2 linked regions of the Caenorhabditis elegans genome follow. The protein of the gene in region 1 interacts with the protein of each later gene in a pairwise test. Each region holds a gene or a part of one and is shown on either strand. Other genes may lie near its edges.

What was found.
Region 2: the proteins of jkk-1 (region 1) and brap-2 interact in a two-hybrid assay, tested with the Caenorhabditis elegans proteins (one large-scale study listed by BioGRID).

The regions. Positions count from the first base shown.
Region 1 is NC_003284.9:5,366,118-5,375,451, forward strand, and holds jkk-1 (Dual specificity mitogen-activated protein kinase kinase jkk-1), read left to right. Parts: upstream 1-2,350; 5' UTR 2,351-2,547; coding exon 2,548-2,581; intron 2,582-3,198; coding exon of another isoform or gene 3,199-3,218; intron 3,219-3,237; coding exon 3,238-3,345; intron 3,346-3,495; coding exon 3,496-3,576; intron 3,577-3,623; coding exon 3,624-3,734; intron 3,735-3,782; coding exon 3,783-3,895; intron 3,896-4,313; coding exon 4,314-4,430; intron 4,431-4,476; coding exon 4,477-4,632; intron 4,633-4,691; coding exon 4,692-4,856; intron 4,857-5,127; coding exon 5,128-5,289; intron 5,290-5,331; coding exon 5,332-5,424; intron 5,425-5,472; coding exon 5,473-5,532; intron 5,533-5,585; coding exon 5,586-5,693; 3' UTR 5,694-6,051; coding exon of another isoform or gene 6,052-6,165; 3' UTR 6,166-6,210; coding exon of another isoform or gene 6,211-6,309; 3' UTR 6,310-6,471; coding exon of another isoform or gene 6,472-6,508; 3' UTR 6,509-6,914; coding exon of another isoform or gene 6,915-6,944; intron 6,945-6,991; coding exon of another isoform or gene 6,992-7,619; 3' UTR 7,620-7,699; coding exon of another isoform or gene 7,700-7,917; intron 7,918-7,977; and 1 more. Other genes in the region: F35C8.5 (Cholesterol 25-hydroxylase-like protein), read left to right, coding at 1-258, 928-1,017, 1,064-1,168, 1,211-1,456; F35C8.8 (uncharacterized protein), read right to left, coding at 3,199-3,218, 6,052-6,165, 6,211-6,309, 6,472-6,508; sek-4 (mitogen-activated protein kinase kinase), read left to right, coding at 8,953-9,180. UniProt on the Caenorhabditis elegans protein: Dual specificity protein kinase which acts as an essential component of the JNK signal transduction pathway. May phosphorylate jnk-1.
Region 2 is NC_003280.10:5,388,703-5,395,362, reverse strand, and holds brap-2 (BRCA1-associated protein homolog 2), read left to right. Parts: upstream 1-2,172; 5' UTR 2,173-2,176; coding exon 2,177-2,383; intron 2,384-2,432; coding exon 2,433-2,586; intron 2,587-2,633; coding exon 2,634-2,893; intron 2,894-2,940; coding exon 2,941-3,039; intron 3,040-3,101; coding exon 3,102-3,545; intron 3,546-4,222; coding exon 4,223-4,651; intron 4,652-4,701; coding exon 4,702-4,803; intron 4,804-4,848; coding exon 4,849-4,926; 3' UTR 4,927-5,122; downstream 5,123-6,660. Other genes in the region: pink-1 (Serine/threonine-protein kinase pink-1, mitochondrial), read left to right, coding at 1-202, 247-404, 453-682, 730-1,128, 1,176-1,896; ndx-6 (Putative nudix hydrolase 6), read left to right, coding at 5,526-5,559, 5,608-5,818, 5,865-6,188, 6,233-6,446; rsp-4 (putative splicing factor, arginine/serine-rich 4), read left to right, coding at 6,537-6,660.

The sequences.
Region 1 (9,334 bases):
AACGTTCCATTTTTCAAAGATGCAAAAATCCAAAAAGATCGAAAAGTGACCTGGGATTTGATAAAGAAGTCACTGAAGCTTCAAGGATGGAATCAGCTCCTGTGGATTTACCCGATGGCACTTGTCCAGTTAATTTGGGTACCTGATACAGAGCTTCCTATCCTGGCACCAACAGTTTTTGAAATGCTTTCACAGCTGGCTATATTTTTCCTGGCCTTTGATTTCACATATTTCTGGTTCCATTATATCAATCACAAGGTAATTGATAACAAACAACGGTTGCATGTGTGAAGTATGATTGGAGTAGTCATAAAACACGGTTTTTAATAACTTGTAAATCGAGTTACATTGAAACTAATTAGACCATGTTTCACAATATAATTCAAAACCTTCTCTGAATGTATATAATCGGGAACTCACCAGCTACAAATAATTTTTTGTTGTGCAAAGCTCGCCAATTTTCCACCAGGTTTACATTCGTTTAGGCAAAAGTTTCCAAAACGTTGCACATTCCGAGTACTAATTCATATTGCGGAACCTGTCATTTTGTCGAAACGTCCTGATAGGAACTTTTTGATTGTTGCAAACGTTTCAGTGTTTATTTTTACGATTCCTATTATTTGGTTATCCATGTATGCAAAGAGGTTTATTAAAATGTATATTTTGACGTCACATAATGCATTTTAGTTTATGCTATGACGTCATAATTTACATCAATGTTGATTTCTTCATTAGCAGCTTTTCTCTCACTTGAAATTAAGATTCGAAATAATTTTTTACCAACGTTAAGCACGTTTCAGTTTGAATTTCATAAAGCTATTACATATTTTTCAGCGATTCAAAAATTATATTATCAGTGGAATGAATCACTGATAGTCATAATTGTCCTATACACAAATCATGGTAATATCACTCAACATTTTGCAGGTAAAATGGCTCTACCGCTGGTGTCACTCTGTTCATCATATGTACTCATCCCCATTCGCAGCATCTGCACAACATCTTCACCCATTTGAGGTTTTTGAAAATTGAGATTTATAACTAAAATAGTAAGTTTTTTCAGCTGTTCTTTGTTGGAACATTCATCACCACTATCCCATGGATCTTCCCAACTCACTGCTTGACCTACTGGATTTGGTTCTTTATCGCCCAGAGCGTCTCTTATGAGGTATTAAAATTTGACCTTTAAAGTTGACAAAGTTGAATTCAGGTTCACATTGGATACGACTTCCCATTTGCTCTTCATCGCATTTTCTGGTTCTACTCGGGTGCTCCGGCTCATGACATGCACCATCTGAGACCACTGACATGTTTCCAACCGTGGTTCAACTATCTCGACAGACTCATGGGTTACCATATTACCTACGCCGATTTGAAAAAGATGACCGAGGCAAAATTCAAAAAGTTCGGGCTCTATTCAGCTGAAGACGAGAAAGGATTAATCAAAATTAACTAAGCCACGTACATGTATTACCCCGTAACGCAATAAACGAACTTTTTTTGCTGTTGAAATGTGCATGAGTGAGCAAGACTTTTTCGGAACTTTGTGTTTGCTCCCAGACAGACCGGAAAATGTGAAAGTAACTGAATCAGAAGAAATGTGGTATTGAAACGTGAGATCTTGCAAAAGGAACTAAGAACACGAGACTTGACCAAAAGTTCAAAAGGTTGCTTGAAATGTAAATAATTTTAAATCTGAAATATCCCCCACCAAAAGGGTTAACCTGTCCAAATTGTGGTAAATCTATTTTTTTTAATTGAATTTTGTTTTCATAGTCAAACAATCGTAATTCTGAAACGTGGCCAAAAATGTCTACAAGTTTTAAAACAAGCAACTGTGACTCAAACATTTGTTCGGAGTATTATTTTTAACCAGGTGAATCGTTTCTATTTGGAACCTCGAATCGTCTTCAACAGAACATGCTTCACCCAATTTTCTCGCTGATGAGATTTGTGCAGAGGCGCATGTCTGTGTGTCATCGTGTAACTTCTATTTGCCGGCACAAAGAAGATGAGCAACAAAAAGACCTCCTCCAAACTTGCCCCCATTCAAATCGCCCATTAGCGTTTAGCCTTTCTCTCTTATAGGACCACCCATTGAAGCTGCAAAGATTCACGCATCCCAAACGCGTCGAAATAGAGGATGATGGGGGGACCAATTGGAAATGAGACATGCGCGAGAAGAGAGAAAGAGCCGAAGAAAGGAGCAGTTCTTCCCGCATATTTTCACTAGTATGTGTGTGCATTTATAGCCTTCCCCCTTCTCCTTCTTCACGGCTCCTCCTCCACGATGTGGGTGATGAGAGCGAAGAGGGGCCAGACCGGGAGCCCCTGCGCTTCTTCGACTAGCATTGTGCATTCAGAATCGATAGCTGTGTGTGTCTTGCCATTTCGTCTACTACATTGGGCTAGTGGTGCTGCTGCTGCTGTCGCTGCCGCGAGGAACCTCACATACGTCTTCTTATTAAAATTTCGGAACGAGCGACGACGGCCAACGGGTCATTCTTTCATTCTTTTATTTTGTTGTCAACTCTACCTTGGTTTTAAATGGAGAATGTCTGTTTTCAGCAAAGATTACGAGGTAAACATATAATTTTTCATATATTTGTTTATTGTCGGCTGAGTACGTAGCAAAATATTCGTAGATTATGTATATTCCGTTTAGAATCTTTGATGAAAATTTAATGAACTGCAAAACAGGTCAACCAAGTTGCTGATTGCCAGAAAGTAGCCTTAGGTTCGGAAATCATCGGTTGTCGGCTGCCGAAAGTTTTATCGTTCGCCAACTTCGGCAACTTTCGATATTAATTTCAATTGTTTTGTAAATACGCATTCAAAGACCCTAAATATTGCGAATATCGTCACTGTAAATAAAACAATTATATTTTTTCCTCGAAAAACACTCTGAAATATGAGTTTAACAGAAATATATGTTTGAACAACGCCAAGGCCTCGGCAGCCGACGGTTGCCGGTTGCTGAAAATTTCAGCGATTGGCAAATTCGGTAACCGCTCATTGACTGATACCCAGATGATGCTGATGCAATTAATTTTCAACCTGTAACCTAAATTTTAGTGAAACAAGGTAGCCAACGAACTTATACCTCTTGATAAGAAAAGTACTTGGCTTCTCGGGCAATAGGTACCACAAAAACTACTAAAAATAACCAAAGTGTCAATCAGCGCCAAACACACAATCTCATTTCCTCCGTGTTGAGTCTGTAATAATTGATTTTAGATCTGGAGACGAGGGTGAGAAAATGGAAATTCTTGAAGTTGGGATTGACTGAGGTTCGGCTACGGCCGAGAGATCGCCGATCAACTTCGGTAGATCAAAAACATAAAGGTTTGTCTTGAAATATTGGTGTCTAGCCTTCAAATGGCATCATTATTCTTAAAATTCCATCTAATTATTCTTTGTGATGAGATCATCGGCTCAATTCCAAAAAACACGTATGTGTTGTCATTCTTAATTCCCTCAAATTTTGTTTTACAGAATGCTCTTCCACATCTTCAAGTCCTCAACACCAACGGCCGAATAACATTGGGTATTTAACAAGCCCCATGGAAAGAAAATGTGTGCCTGGAGAACGACCTTTAGTTATTACATACATACAATTTCAGTTACTCCGCTTTCCATGAAACCATCGCCATCCAGAAGAGATACTGAGAAAGATGCGTTGGAATACGAGTTTCTAGAAGGGTACAAGAAATCGGGAACATTAGAAATTGATGGTAAGACATACATCAAAGCTTTAATTTTTAAAATCTTTTTCCTATCAGGAGAAAAGCAAGTTGTCGACCCAAACGAGATTCACATCATCAGCCTGCTCGGAAGCGGCTCTTGTGGTGTAGTCGAATCTGCGACGGTTCGCTCAAAATTGATGGCTGTGAAGGTGAGCATTACCCCTCACACGGAGGCAGTGATGTATGGTTGAGATACACATCCGGACCACTTTGAATAGAATAAATCTTGCATGGCTCCAGTATGAACTCTTGAAAAAAGATTGACAGAATCGTTGCATACGCAATTCAAAAGAGAAGGGGTCCTTCACGGGTTATCATGCGGGGGCGAAAAATTGTAGTGGTGCTAAAGACCATTAGAAATTCCATTGTTTTCGTTTTTCTTGATTCAATTGTCAATGCAAAGCAAATGCGTTAGAGAGGAGGAGAGACCTCTAAAATTGGTGGAAAACAAATTTCAGTAAAAATTCTGAACCTCTTTCAATGTGAGAACAGTAGTTTGATAAATGCGACTCTAGAGAATACGTTGACACAGAATCATAACGGTTCCCTCAGCTTTGTCTTCTTCAGACTATGTACAAAAATGACAATAAGGAAAATTTGAAACGAATTCTTCGTGACGTCCGAATTATGTCAATGTGCAATTCTCCGTTCATTGTCACCAGTTACGGATATTTCATGTTTGATGTAAGTGTGACATTCTTATTAACATATCCAATTCCTCCATTTCCAGTCGTCTGTAAAAATTTGTATGCAAATCATGTCAGCGTGTTGTGAGAAGCTGCTGCGTCGCATTTATCATTCAAAATTGGATTTTTTCCCCGAGTTTGTGGCCGGTCACATCGTCTACTCGGCGATTAGTGCACTGGATTATCTCAAGGAAAAACATGTAAGAGATTAAAGAGAAACTGCTGTGCACAAACTAAACAACTAATTCCGGATTTTCAGTCGATTATACATCGCGATATAAAACCCTCGAATATCCTTTTTGATGACAGCGGCAATGTAAAGCTGTGTGATTTTGGGATAAGTGGATTTATGACTGATTCGATGGCTCATTCCAAAAGTGCAGGATGTCCGCCATATATGGCTCCTGAAAGATTAACTATCGAGGTATGAAATTGAATGTTGATCTGTGAACAAAAATGTGCCGGTGGCGGTGACGCCCTCCACGCGCCCGATTTTTCCCGCAACTTGCCCCGGTTCCCTGCTACTAGTTTCGGCTTGATCATGCTTGACATGTCAAAAAAAAAATTTTGAACTTTTTTTTTTGAAACATAATCTTGACCCGAAATGTGGGTCACGTCCCGATCGCAACAGTGAGCCGCGGGGCACTCCTGTTAATAGGTCTAAAAGTAAATAATGAAGTTTGAAAAAATTGCAGACGAATTCCAAATACGACGTTCGAAGCGATGTCTGGTCATTGGGAATCACTGTTTACCAACTTGTCACTGGACTCTACCCATTTCCACTAAATGACATGGAATTCACAACTCTCACCATTATTGCAAACCTGAATTTGCCATCACCAAGTCTGAGAGAAGAGGTTTCGGAATTTCCGTTACGTTTTCAATACGCTATGTTTCAGACAAAGCGAAGTTTTTCACCTCTATTCATTGAATTCTTGGACCTATGCTTGCGAAAGGATGTTCGAGAAAGACCTGAATATAGGCAATTAATGGTAAAATAATAGGTTGGAGAAATTTTTAAAACAAAGGTTTTTCTACAGAAGCATGATTTCTACCTTGATTACGACCCTGCCAGTGGAAGTGCTTACAAGTTCAAAGCTGTAAGTGTTTTTTTTTGCAAATTTTTCAGTACAAAAACTGACTGTAATTTCAGATCAATGGAAAATGCAATCAAGTTGCGGATTGGTTCGTCGACGTGATTCGACTTTCAAAAACCGAAGATGAATTGAAGTCGATCCCAAACACGCCTTGTGTCAACTAATTATTGAAGACTTTTAAGCAAATTATCACTTTCGTGTTCTCTCAGAAATTCTCATTCTTTTAAAATTGAAACGAGTCTGATATCATCACTGGTGCTCTTCTCTGCATAATATTTGTTTCTCGGTTGCTTCCAGTTCACTTTTTGAAGAAATTCTAGGTATGATTTAAAAAGAAATACTGGGTTTTTTAAACGAACAAACTAAAAATCTGTCCAAATGGACGAATATCGTAATAAAAGTTCTCAAAAAAATGTAAATTGTTTTAATGGCTGTTCTATTTTGCGAAGCATTGGTAGTTTAACGCATATCATTTTGCAAAATAAGGACCATTTAAAGTTTTCTAAGAAAGCAATAACCTACCGATTCTTGTCCACAAAATCCTTCGATCATCGGGGAAGCTCCTAGAATCTGGTTCAATTTTTGAGGAGGCTGCAAGCTTGTCAACTGGGCTTGCAACTGGGCTCCGGGATATTTCTGAAATTTGAAGTTTAAATTAAAATTTCATTTAGGACAACTTACTGATAATCCGTTTTTTTTTTAATTTTCTGTTCTTGTTTCTGTTCTGTTTCTGCTGCTCCTCACTTTCCGCTTTCCGACGACGTTCGTGGTGCAATTTCTCTAAAATTTTGATATATTTTTGCTTAAATTTTATCGATTTGTAAGTGACTTTCGAGTGTGGTACACTTTTTGCATCGCTAATCTGCCTTCGATACTTTGCTCACCTAATCTGAAAATTGGAAATTTAGAGCTTTTCAAAATAATTGTTATGAGATAACTTACGGAGTTGGCTGGAGGAAGAACTTGGTGATGAAGCCATACTGTGCGAAGTTTCTGAAAATCGAGAGTACGGTAAACTACGGTATAATTGGATTTTAAAAGAAAAAAAAAATCAAAAGTAAGTTTGCCACAAGAGCCGGATATGATAAAGTGGCACCAAGAGAAAGAGAGTGAGAGAGTGTGTAAAAGTAAGAGGGTGCTAGACGAGAAATACATAAACACAATAACACCTTCTATTTTGCCGCCACCGCCAAAAAAAGACGCTAACTGTACGCCTTCCGGTTGTCCGTGGGGCGGATTTGCAACAACATTTCTGAATAGTTTTTCTTGCTAGTTTTTTAAATTTTTTCTTACTTCTATTTTGATCAAATCTTGAAAATTTTCAATCTAGAAAGTTTTCTCACTTATTTTTCTTACAGTAATTATAACTTGCTATCAAGAGCACAATGCCTGCTGCTCCAAACTACAGTATTATGGTAACCAGCACCTACTTATCACAATTTCCAACTTTAAAACTTTCCAGACATTTACCCTTTGAAGGAAGCCACTCGAACTTGAAGGAATCCACTCAAAACTTTGATATCACCATTTTCGACCGCAAAAACTTTTTGCATTGAAGATGCAGTCGTAAGAACAACAGAATCCCAATTTCTGCTGAAGAAAAATGGAGAAAGAAACATCAATATAATGCAAATTACGAACAACGGAATCGCGACGAAAAGGCAGCGTTCGAAGGATTTCTTGTCGAAACAAGTGCGATCAAGGACAATTTGGAGCAATTGGTTCAAGAAGTTATGCCTGAAAATGTGGATCAGTTTGTAAAGAAATCGGTGACAGTTATGGAGACAATCCTGCAAAAAATCTCCAGACATAGAGGTGGATGTGAGATCTTAATTTGAGATCCACGTAAACTTCATGGACAAGTATCAAGAAGCCATGAACTACATATCTTGGCAGCACCAGCACGATTTTGTCATAGCCCAGGAGAAGCACAAAGACCTTCTACCTACCCAGGAAAGAACCTGGTCATCGTGGATTTGCATAGGGGAGAGAATTGCAAGGCAACAGCTGAAAATTGACTGCATCAAAAACTTGGAGAAAATTACAACGTTGATTGGGAAGAGGGACCTGCTTGAAGATTGCATGCCATCGTCAGTGGAAACATAGTCTTAGTCAAATTTCTGATTTTTTATTTTCAATCGCCCGAATCCTCCAATTTCTTGTTTTTCAGATCTGGATCAAATGCTCGAAATCTACACCATTTTCTTCAAGCTGATGTTGCAAAACTGCGGAGCCCGCCGACGCTGAGCTAGTCAACAAAATCGTCGAGCATTTTTCAAACAACTTTCCGCACCCAGAGAATCCTTCCGAACTTCCAACATTTGCGTCTACGTCTTGCTCGAGACTTGAAATCGCTCAACTTGCAGTAAAAGTTGTGAATAAAACGTGGTGAGAACGTGATGATAAATTAAAATCTAGAAAACTTTGAAAAATGCCAATTTTTTTCAGAACTTTTCTGGCTCACCACTCCACTTCCAAAATCAGCACATGCCATAGTTTTATAATTTATATATTTCTAGTCATTGTTTTAACTTGTTCAAATTTTATTTAAAATAAAGCTTCAGATAAATTGAAAATTGAATTTTTAAAAATTGAATTATTGCGGAACTGATTTCACATAAAAACTGAACTACATTTCCTTTTGAAATGTTAACTTCTGATTTTCCATTTTGGCAGAGATGAGTTCAGTACGCGTTTTCTGGAAGAGCTTCAGAGCATCTTAGAGTGCAGCTTATGAAAATACCTTGTAGTCTGGCAAATGAGGTTTGAAGGAATCACCTTTGGCATTCATTTCCATTCCTGCTCTGGAAACGGCTTCTTGTCAGCTCCGGAACTGATACAATCTCTCCGATGTCAGCTCTCCTGGAAGTGAGACAGAACGAGAAAAAATCGTTATTACTGTAGCGATGATATTCAAATTTTTATTTATTATAAACCACCTCAAAATGACGACAATTAGCAATTTTCGAACTATACTCAATCAATGAGCTTGTATCGAGAAACGGTAATCCCTTTTTAGAGAGATTAAAGAAAGAGCACAAGTATTCATCTATCTAGCGGCGAGGTACAAGCAATAATCCATGGGACACTTAAAAAAAAACGGAGGTCATCGCGATGCCCAAAAAAATTCAAACGCATACCCGTGGCACATACAAGATCTCTGCAAAAAAAGAGCCGTTTTTGGTGTTGTTTTTGGAACTCCTACATCGTCTATCAAAAAATTCGTTGTTTATCGATTACTCTTTGTTTGCACCCCATTCATATTGTCAACTGGTGACACCCAGTTTCTTATCAGTAACATTTTCTCCTCAAATGACTAGCAGAAATATGTTCTGTAATAATTTGGAATCACAAAATGTTATGAGAGTTTAATTTTGTTTTCTCCTTGTGTCGGTTGCCTTACAAAATGTTTTTTCAGGAAAAATGCCGACGTTCGGACGTCGAGTTCCGAGACCAAAACTGGATTTGCCAGCGCTCAGAGAAACAATTCCCGAGGTGTTGAAAAACGGTGCTCTTGGTTATATCTGTCTGTCTGGTAGGAATCTGAACGTTCCGGAAGATATGCTTCATGGTGGAGTAAGAATTGGAAGTGGTGAAGGACAATCAGCAGTGTACCGCTTAATATACAATGGAATGGTTATTGCAAGAAAAGTTAGTTTACAAAGATTTTTAAATTAAAAGTTGTGGTTAATAAGGAGTTGAATTAGTTCCATCCTAATAGAAAAACGATGATATATCCACTGCATTTTGGATTAATGAAATTACTATTCAAAATACGTCACCTAGTGACTTTTATATTTTTTAG
Region 2 (6,660 bases), on another chromosome or scaffold:
CCATTTTCCTCAGTAATAATCGAAAGACATCGATTTCAAAATCAAAATGATTGGCGTCGAAAGTTTCAACCGATTCGTAAAGAATTGCCAAGAAATGTGGATTTAGTCGAACGAATCAGGCAGATATTTGGCAATTCTCTACGATACAATGAGGATTTGAAAAGCACTGAATGGCCGAATAGAATTGATTCTTATGAGTTTGGTATGCTTTTTTCAGTGATATTTCTCCATTGTTTGAGTTTTCAGGGGAATTTCTCGGTCAAGGATGCAATGCAGCAGTTTACTCTGCGAGATTAGCCAATTCTGATGCAGAATCCTCAGGGAATACTCACTATGGTGCAGGGTTTAATGAAGTCACAAATATACTTGCAGAAATTCCGCCAGTTAGCAAAGTTGCACAAAAGGTAGTTGATAATCTTAATTCGATGATTAATATTGAAAAATCATTGCAGAAATTCCCGTTGGCAATCAAATTAATGTTTAATTTTGAACATGATCGCGATGGAGATGCTCATCTCTTGAAATCAATGGGAAATGAATTGGCTCCATATCCGAATGCTGCAAAGTTGCTCAATGGACAAATGGGAACATTTAGACCTCTTCCAGCAAAACATCCAAATGTTGTTCGAATTCAGACAGCTTTTATTGATTCGTTAAAAGTTTTGCCAGATGCGATTGAACGGTTAGCTTTGAAATTTATTGATAATGATTGAGAATAAGATTTTCCAGATATCCAGATGCCCTTCACACTGCACGTTGGTATGAGTCAATTGCCTCCGAACCGAAAACAATGTACGTAGTAATGAGACGATACCGACAAACACTTCATGAATATGTATGGACTCGTCATCGAAATTATTGGACAGGACGAGTGATAATTGCTCAACTATTAGAAGCATGTACATATCTTCATAAGCATAAAGTTGCTCAGCGAGACATGAAAAGTGATAATATTCTTCTGGAATATGATTTTGACGACGAGATTCCCCAATTAGTTGTCGCCGATTTTGGATGTGCACTTGCATGTGACAATTGGCAAGTAGACTATGAATCAGATGAAGTTAGTCTTGGAGGAAATGCCAAGACAAAAGCACCAGAAATTGCGACGGCTGTTCCTGGAAAGAATGTGTATGTTTTGAAGTTTAGAGTACTGTATATAATCAAAGTTTTTACAGAAAAGTAAACTTCGAAATGGCAGATACATGGGCAGCTGGAGGCCTTTCTTATGAAGTTCTAACACGATCAAATCCATTCTACAAACTTCTTGATACTGCAACATACCAGGAATCAGAACTACCAGCACTCCCATCTCGTGTCAATTTTGTGGCACGAGATGTCATTTTTGACCTACTCAAGCGAGATCCTAATGAAAGAGTCAAGCCGAATATTGCTGCAAATGCGTTGAATTTGTCATTGTTCAGAATGGGAGAAGATGTGAAGCAGATGATGGAAAAATGTGGAATATCTCAAATGACTACTCTATTGGCTGGAAGTTCTAAAGTTTTGAGTCAAAAAATCAATAGTCGTCTGGACAAAGTGATGAATCTGATTACTGCTGAAACTATCATGGCCAACCTAGCTCCACATTTGATTAGTCGAGCAGAACGACAACTTCGAGCAACATTTCTTTCAAGAATGAATCGAGAAGATATTTGGAGAAGTCTTCAATATTTCTTCCCAGCTGGTGTTCAACTTGACACACCTGCCACATCATCAGACTGTTTGGAGACTATTTCCAGTTTGATGTCGAGTTTTTCAAATGATTCAGAAAATTACGAGAAGCAACAGAAACCGGCTAAAAATGGATACAACAATGTTCCACTTCTTCTCAGAAATGTTATCCGTACAGATGCGGATGGAATCAATGGAATTGTACATAGAGTTCGATCTAAATAGATTTGTTTTAACGATTACTGTAGTTTGAAACCTCTAGATTACATATGTAATAACCTTTTTTTTTTACTTGTTGGTATTTTTCAAATTGTACAATCACTTTTCATGCCAGTCTATTGCGTTCTTTTGTCTAATTACGGTTTATCATTCCCTCATTTATGGAAAATATCATACCTTATTACTTTTTATTGTTCAAATACTGGTGGTTTTTAACCATTTTATACTACTTCATTACATCCTATTATTTCAGATCTCAGATCCTCTAACTGTAACTTTTAGGTGTATGAGCAGTCTTTACGTGCCATTAGTTTTACGGCTCGAAGTGAGAGACCGGACAAAAATCGTGCAATCTTTTATCGACGACTCGAAAGCAGGAAGTGAATCCCCACTGGCAGGTGAACGGACTCGTCAGAGACTAGTCAAAAAAGGAAATACTCCTCCAAAAAAGGAACTGAAAGGCAGAGAAGAAGATCCGCCAATTGGAGTTATGGTATATAGATCAAATTTTATTGAGACTAAAAGCTTAATCTGATTTTCAGTCATCCGAGCCATCACACAACTACCACAAAGGACGACGGACCTATTCTGAAGTGGTCATCGAATCTTTAGATGGAGAAAAACTTGTTGACTCGAGTTCTTCGGTTGCCGGAACATCGGAAAAATCTGGTGGAAGATCTGTTTCAGAAGGACCACGTGAGTTTGAAACATGTGAGATGGAAAATGAAATCTAAAAATTTCAGCTGACCAAGTTGCCTATTATTCTGGAAATCCTCTCACGGAAAAGACCGAAGGAATTATGCATTTTTACAAGTACAATGATGAGAAGTTGACAAAAGTTGCACAGTGCCGAATGTTGTGTATGTATGCTGTACCAGCACAAGTTGAAGTTCGTGAGATTATATCATTCATGTGTATCTCACTTCCGATGATTGTTAGTATTAAAGTTGTTCGAGATCCAGCGCCAAATCAGTATATGTTGATTATCAAGTTCAAGGAACATGTAGGTTCAAGTTATACTAACGATTAATTGGCAAATATTTATTTCAGAATGATGCTGTAACATTCTACGAGGAATTCAACAATTGCCCGTTTAATGATCTCGAATCGTATTGTTGCACGCTTTTCTTTGTGGATAGAATTGAATGTGTAAGTTATTATTATTTTATTTCAATAATTCCAGATATTTCGAAACAATTTATAAATTTCAGACAACGTCGAATGATCTCTTCTCCTCCGATGATACATCTCTTACGGAGCTTCCAACTTGTGCAGTTTGTCTGGAACGAATGGATGATAGTGTTCTTGCAATTCTATGTAATCATTCATTTCATGCTCGTTGCCTGGAACAATGGGCAGACAATACTTGTCCAGTCTGTCGATATGTTCAATCTCCAGAAGTTGTCGCAGAGCAACGTTGTAATGATTGTGGAATGAGCAACGATCTATGGATTTGTCTAATTTGTGGAAATATAGGTTGTGGAAGATACGCAGAACAACATGCACAACGACATTGGGAGCTCACTTCACATACTTATAGTTTGAAAGTTGGAGGAGAACGAGTCTGGGATTATGCTGGAGACAATTACGTGCATAGATTGATTGAAAATGGAGCTGATGGGAAACTTGTCGAGTATCAGAGAGAATCGAATGCGGTATGTTCATACTGGACCAAAAAAAAATTGTTGATTTAAAAACAATAATTTTTTGTTAAAAAACTGGTGGAAACAAAAAAAAAGAATGTTTTGAGGCTTCAAAGTGCCGAAAATCAACCTTTTCGTATAACTAATTTGAATTTCGCGCACTAATTAGTTTTGAAAATTCTCGGCCGTGTACTCCTCTCGGGCAATGAATCAATTAATTTTTTTGGATGCAATTTTTCGGGTTTTCTCATTGAATTCTATTGGTTTTTGTTTGAAAACAAATATATATATATATATATATGCGTCTGTAAATGCGTTTCAAATTAATTATCACACAAATACTTTTGTTCTGCCTAGGAATAAGTGCTAAAATCCTGTAATATATTCATTTTCCCCTTTATCGTTGAATAATAAGTATGATCATGTTCTAAAAGTGTTTGAAATCCAAAGTGTTTGATTTTTTACTTTATTTTTGCTATCATAAAGCAAAATTTTTTTTTTTTCGTGAAAAAATACCTTTGAAAAACAGAAAAAAAAGCAAAAAAAAAGTCCAGCACTGTTTTGTGGCCTTTTCATTCTATACAGAAAATTTATAAATTCATTTAAAATTTTGTTTTCAAGTATTCTGACTAAATAGACCAGAATGTTTAGTCTTCACTCAAATTCCCTAAAAATGTTGAAAATTGCAGAGCTTTGATGACAAAAACCAAAAGGGTGGAGACAAGCTTGAGGGAATCAAACTCGAATACACTCTACTCCTGACCAGTCAACTTGAGGATCAACGGAAATATTTTGAAGGTCTACGTCACGATATGGAGCAAACGATGTCAAAAATGGAGAAAACTGCTTATGCTCAAGTAGAGAATCTCGAGCATCAACTGACGGAACGATCAACTGAATTGAAATCATTAAAAGGAGATTTAGATGATACTGTGACGGCGAGAAAAGTGGCAGAGAAACGAGCAACGCAGACAAATGAAAAAGTGAATAAGCTTGCAAATGAGTTGAAAGATGAACGTGAAATAAATCAAATGTTGAGAAAAGATCAGCAAGTGTGGAAAGGTCAAGTGGAAAAGCTTATTGAAAGTCAGAAAACTGCTCGAACCGAGTATGAAAAGGTATTCGTCTAAATAGATTCCCTTGATCTCTTGAAAGCTTTTCTTTTCAGAAAATCGAAGATCTTCAGTCACAAGTCAATGATCTTTTGATGCATTTTGAAACTCAAAATAAGCTGAAAGAGCAGTTGGATGCTGGAAAAATAACTCAAGAGGTTGGTTAACCAATGCTCGCCACAATAAAAATGTTTAATTTACAGGAAATAACTGAAAGTCAAGTTGAACTCGATTCGTCGTCCTCCTCGTCGAGAAAATTGAACAGAAAGAAGAAAAAGTAGTTGGCATCTCAGGAGATCCATGTCCTATTTAATTTTTGCATATTGAACATTTCTTTAATAGTCTTTTCATATATGGTTAGTCTCACTTGAATATTTATTCGCTTTCTTTCGCGTATCTCATCGAATTTTGTGCGGTATATATGTATGCAGCCGGTAGTTTATTTAATGCATTCGCTTATGAATAAAATGATATCGTTCGAGTGTCTTTTGGTTTCATATTATGTACCATGTTTTCAATCGTTATTAAACGACGAGTCAAAAACTATTTTTCGAATTCCCTCCTCTTTCCTTGCTGACACATTTTCGGTGCTGACGCAACTCTTGTGTTCACTAAGAACGCACACTTCGTTTTAAACGTCTCCGCTGGCCATCATTCTTGTTTCCTTCGATTTTTCTCGATACTTATCTTTTACAAATTATTTTCTCTTTTTTTCAAGATTTCCATCAACTTTTAATATCACTGCTCTCATAATTTCTCGAAACTCTTCGTATTTCTCTAATTCAAAAGTTTTCTGCCGCATTTTTACACTCACTAACCAAGATTATCGATTTTTGGGCAATTTATGACAATTTGGAATCATCTTTTGTGTCGTCCGATAATGAGTTTCGTTCATCAAAAATGCAGAAATATCGGTATAAACAATGTATTAATCTAACATTAAATACAAATTTAACCTCTAGATACGGTTTACCTTGGTAGTAACATTCACCGACTAAATGTGCCTGATAATCTTGTCAAATGGAGCCAAGAATGGTCAGGATACAATCCTCCGGCTCACACCGATCCAAAAGTTGATGGAGCTGTTTGGGCAGACCCAGAAATCGATGAGAAAACGTTCCAACCGTCTTGGAATGCGATCGATGGGAAAATCAATAGAGTGTCATATGTTTGGTGCGTTTATGAGTGTATATACTCAATCAATCAAGAAACCTTCCAGTCAGTACTCATTTGATCCTGTCACCCTTCGCCCACTAAATCCTATTGGACGTACGGGACTTTCTGGTCGTGGTTTGCTTGGTCGTTGGGGTCCAAACCACGCAGCAGATCCGATCGTTTCTAGAACAAACGACAATGGTGATTTGGAGTTTGTTGCAGTTCAACGTCATGACAATGGCGAGTGGGCAATTCCTGGAGGAATGGTGGATGCTGGAGAGCATGTTTCACAAACTCTACGGCGCGAATTCGCAGAAGAAGCAATGCATGGAATTGTCGATTCTGAAAATCTTGATGAATTGTGGAATAATGGTAAAGAGTTATACAGGTGCATTCACAGCTCTTTTATCCCACTCAATGTTTCATTTACAGAGGTTACGTTGATGACCCACGTAACACTGATAACGCATGGATGGAGACTGTTGTTTTCAATTTTCATGATTCAAAAGGCCTTCTGAAAAATGTGGCTCTTCAAGCAGGAGATGATGCTAAAGCTTTACGCTGGATTGCAGTTAATTCAAATGAGCCACTTTACGCTTCTCATTCTCATTTTATTGATCTTCTAAAAGAATCTCATTCTCATTAACTACCACATGTCTCTCTTTTCTCATGTTCTCCTCTTATTTTCGCGTTTCTGTTAGCTATATTCAATTCATAAATGATTTTCATTTCAGAAATGAGCCGTGGAGGAGGTGGTGATCGTCGTGCCGCACCGGATATCAATGGTCTAACTTCGCTGAAAATCGACAACTTGTCGTACCAAACAACGCCCAACGATTTGCGTCGAACTTTTGAGCGAT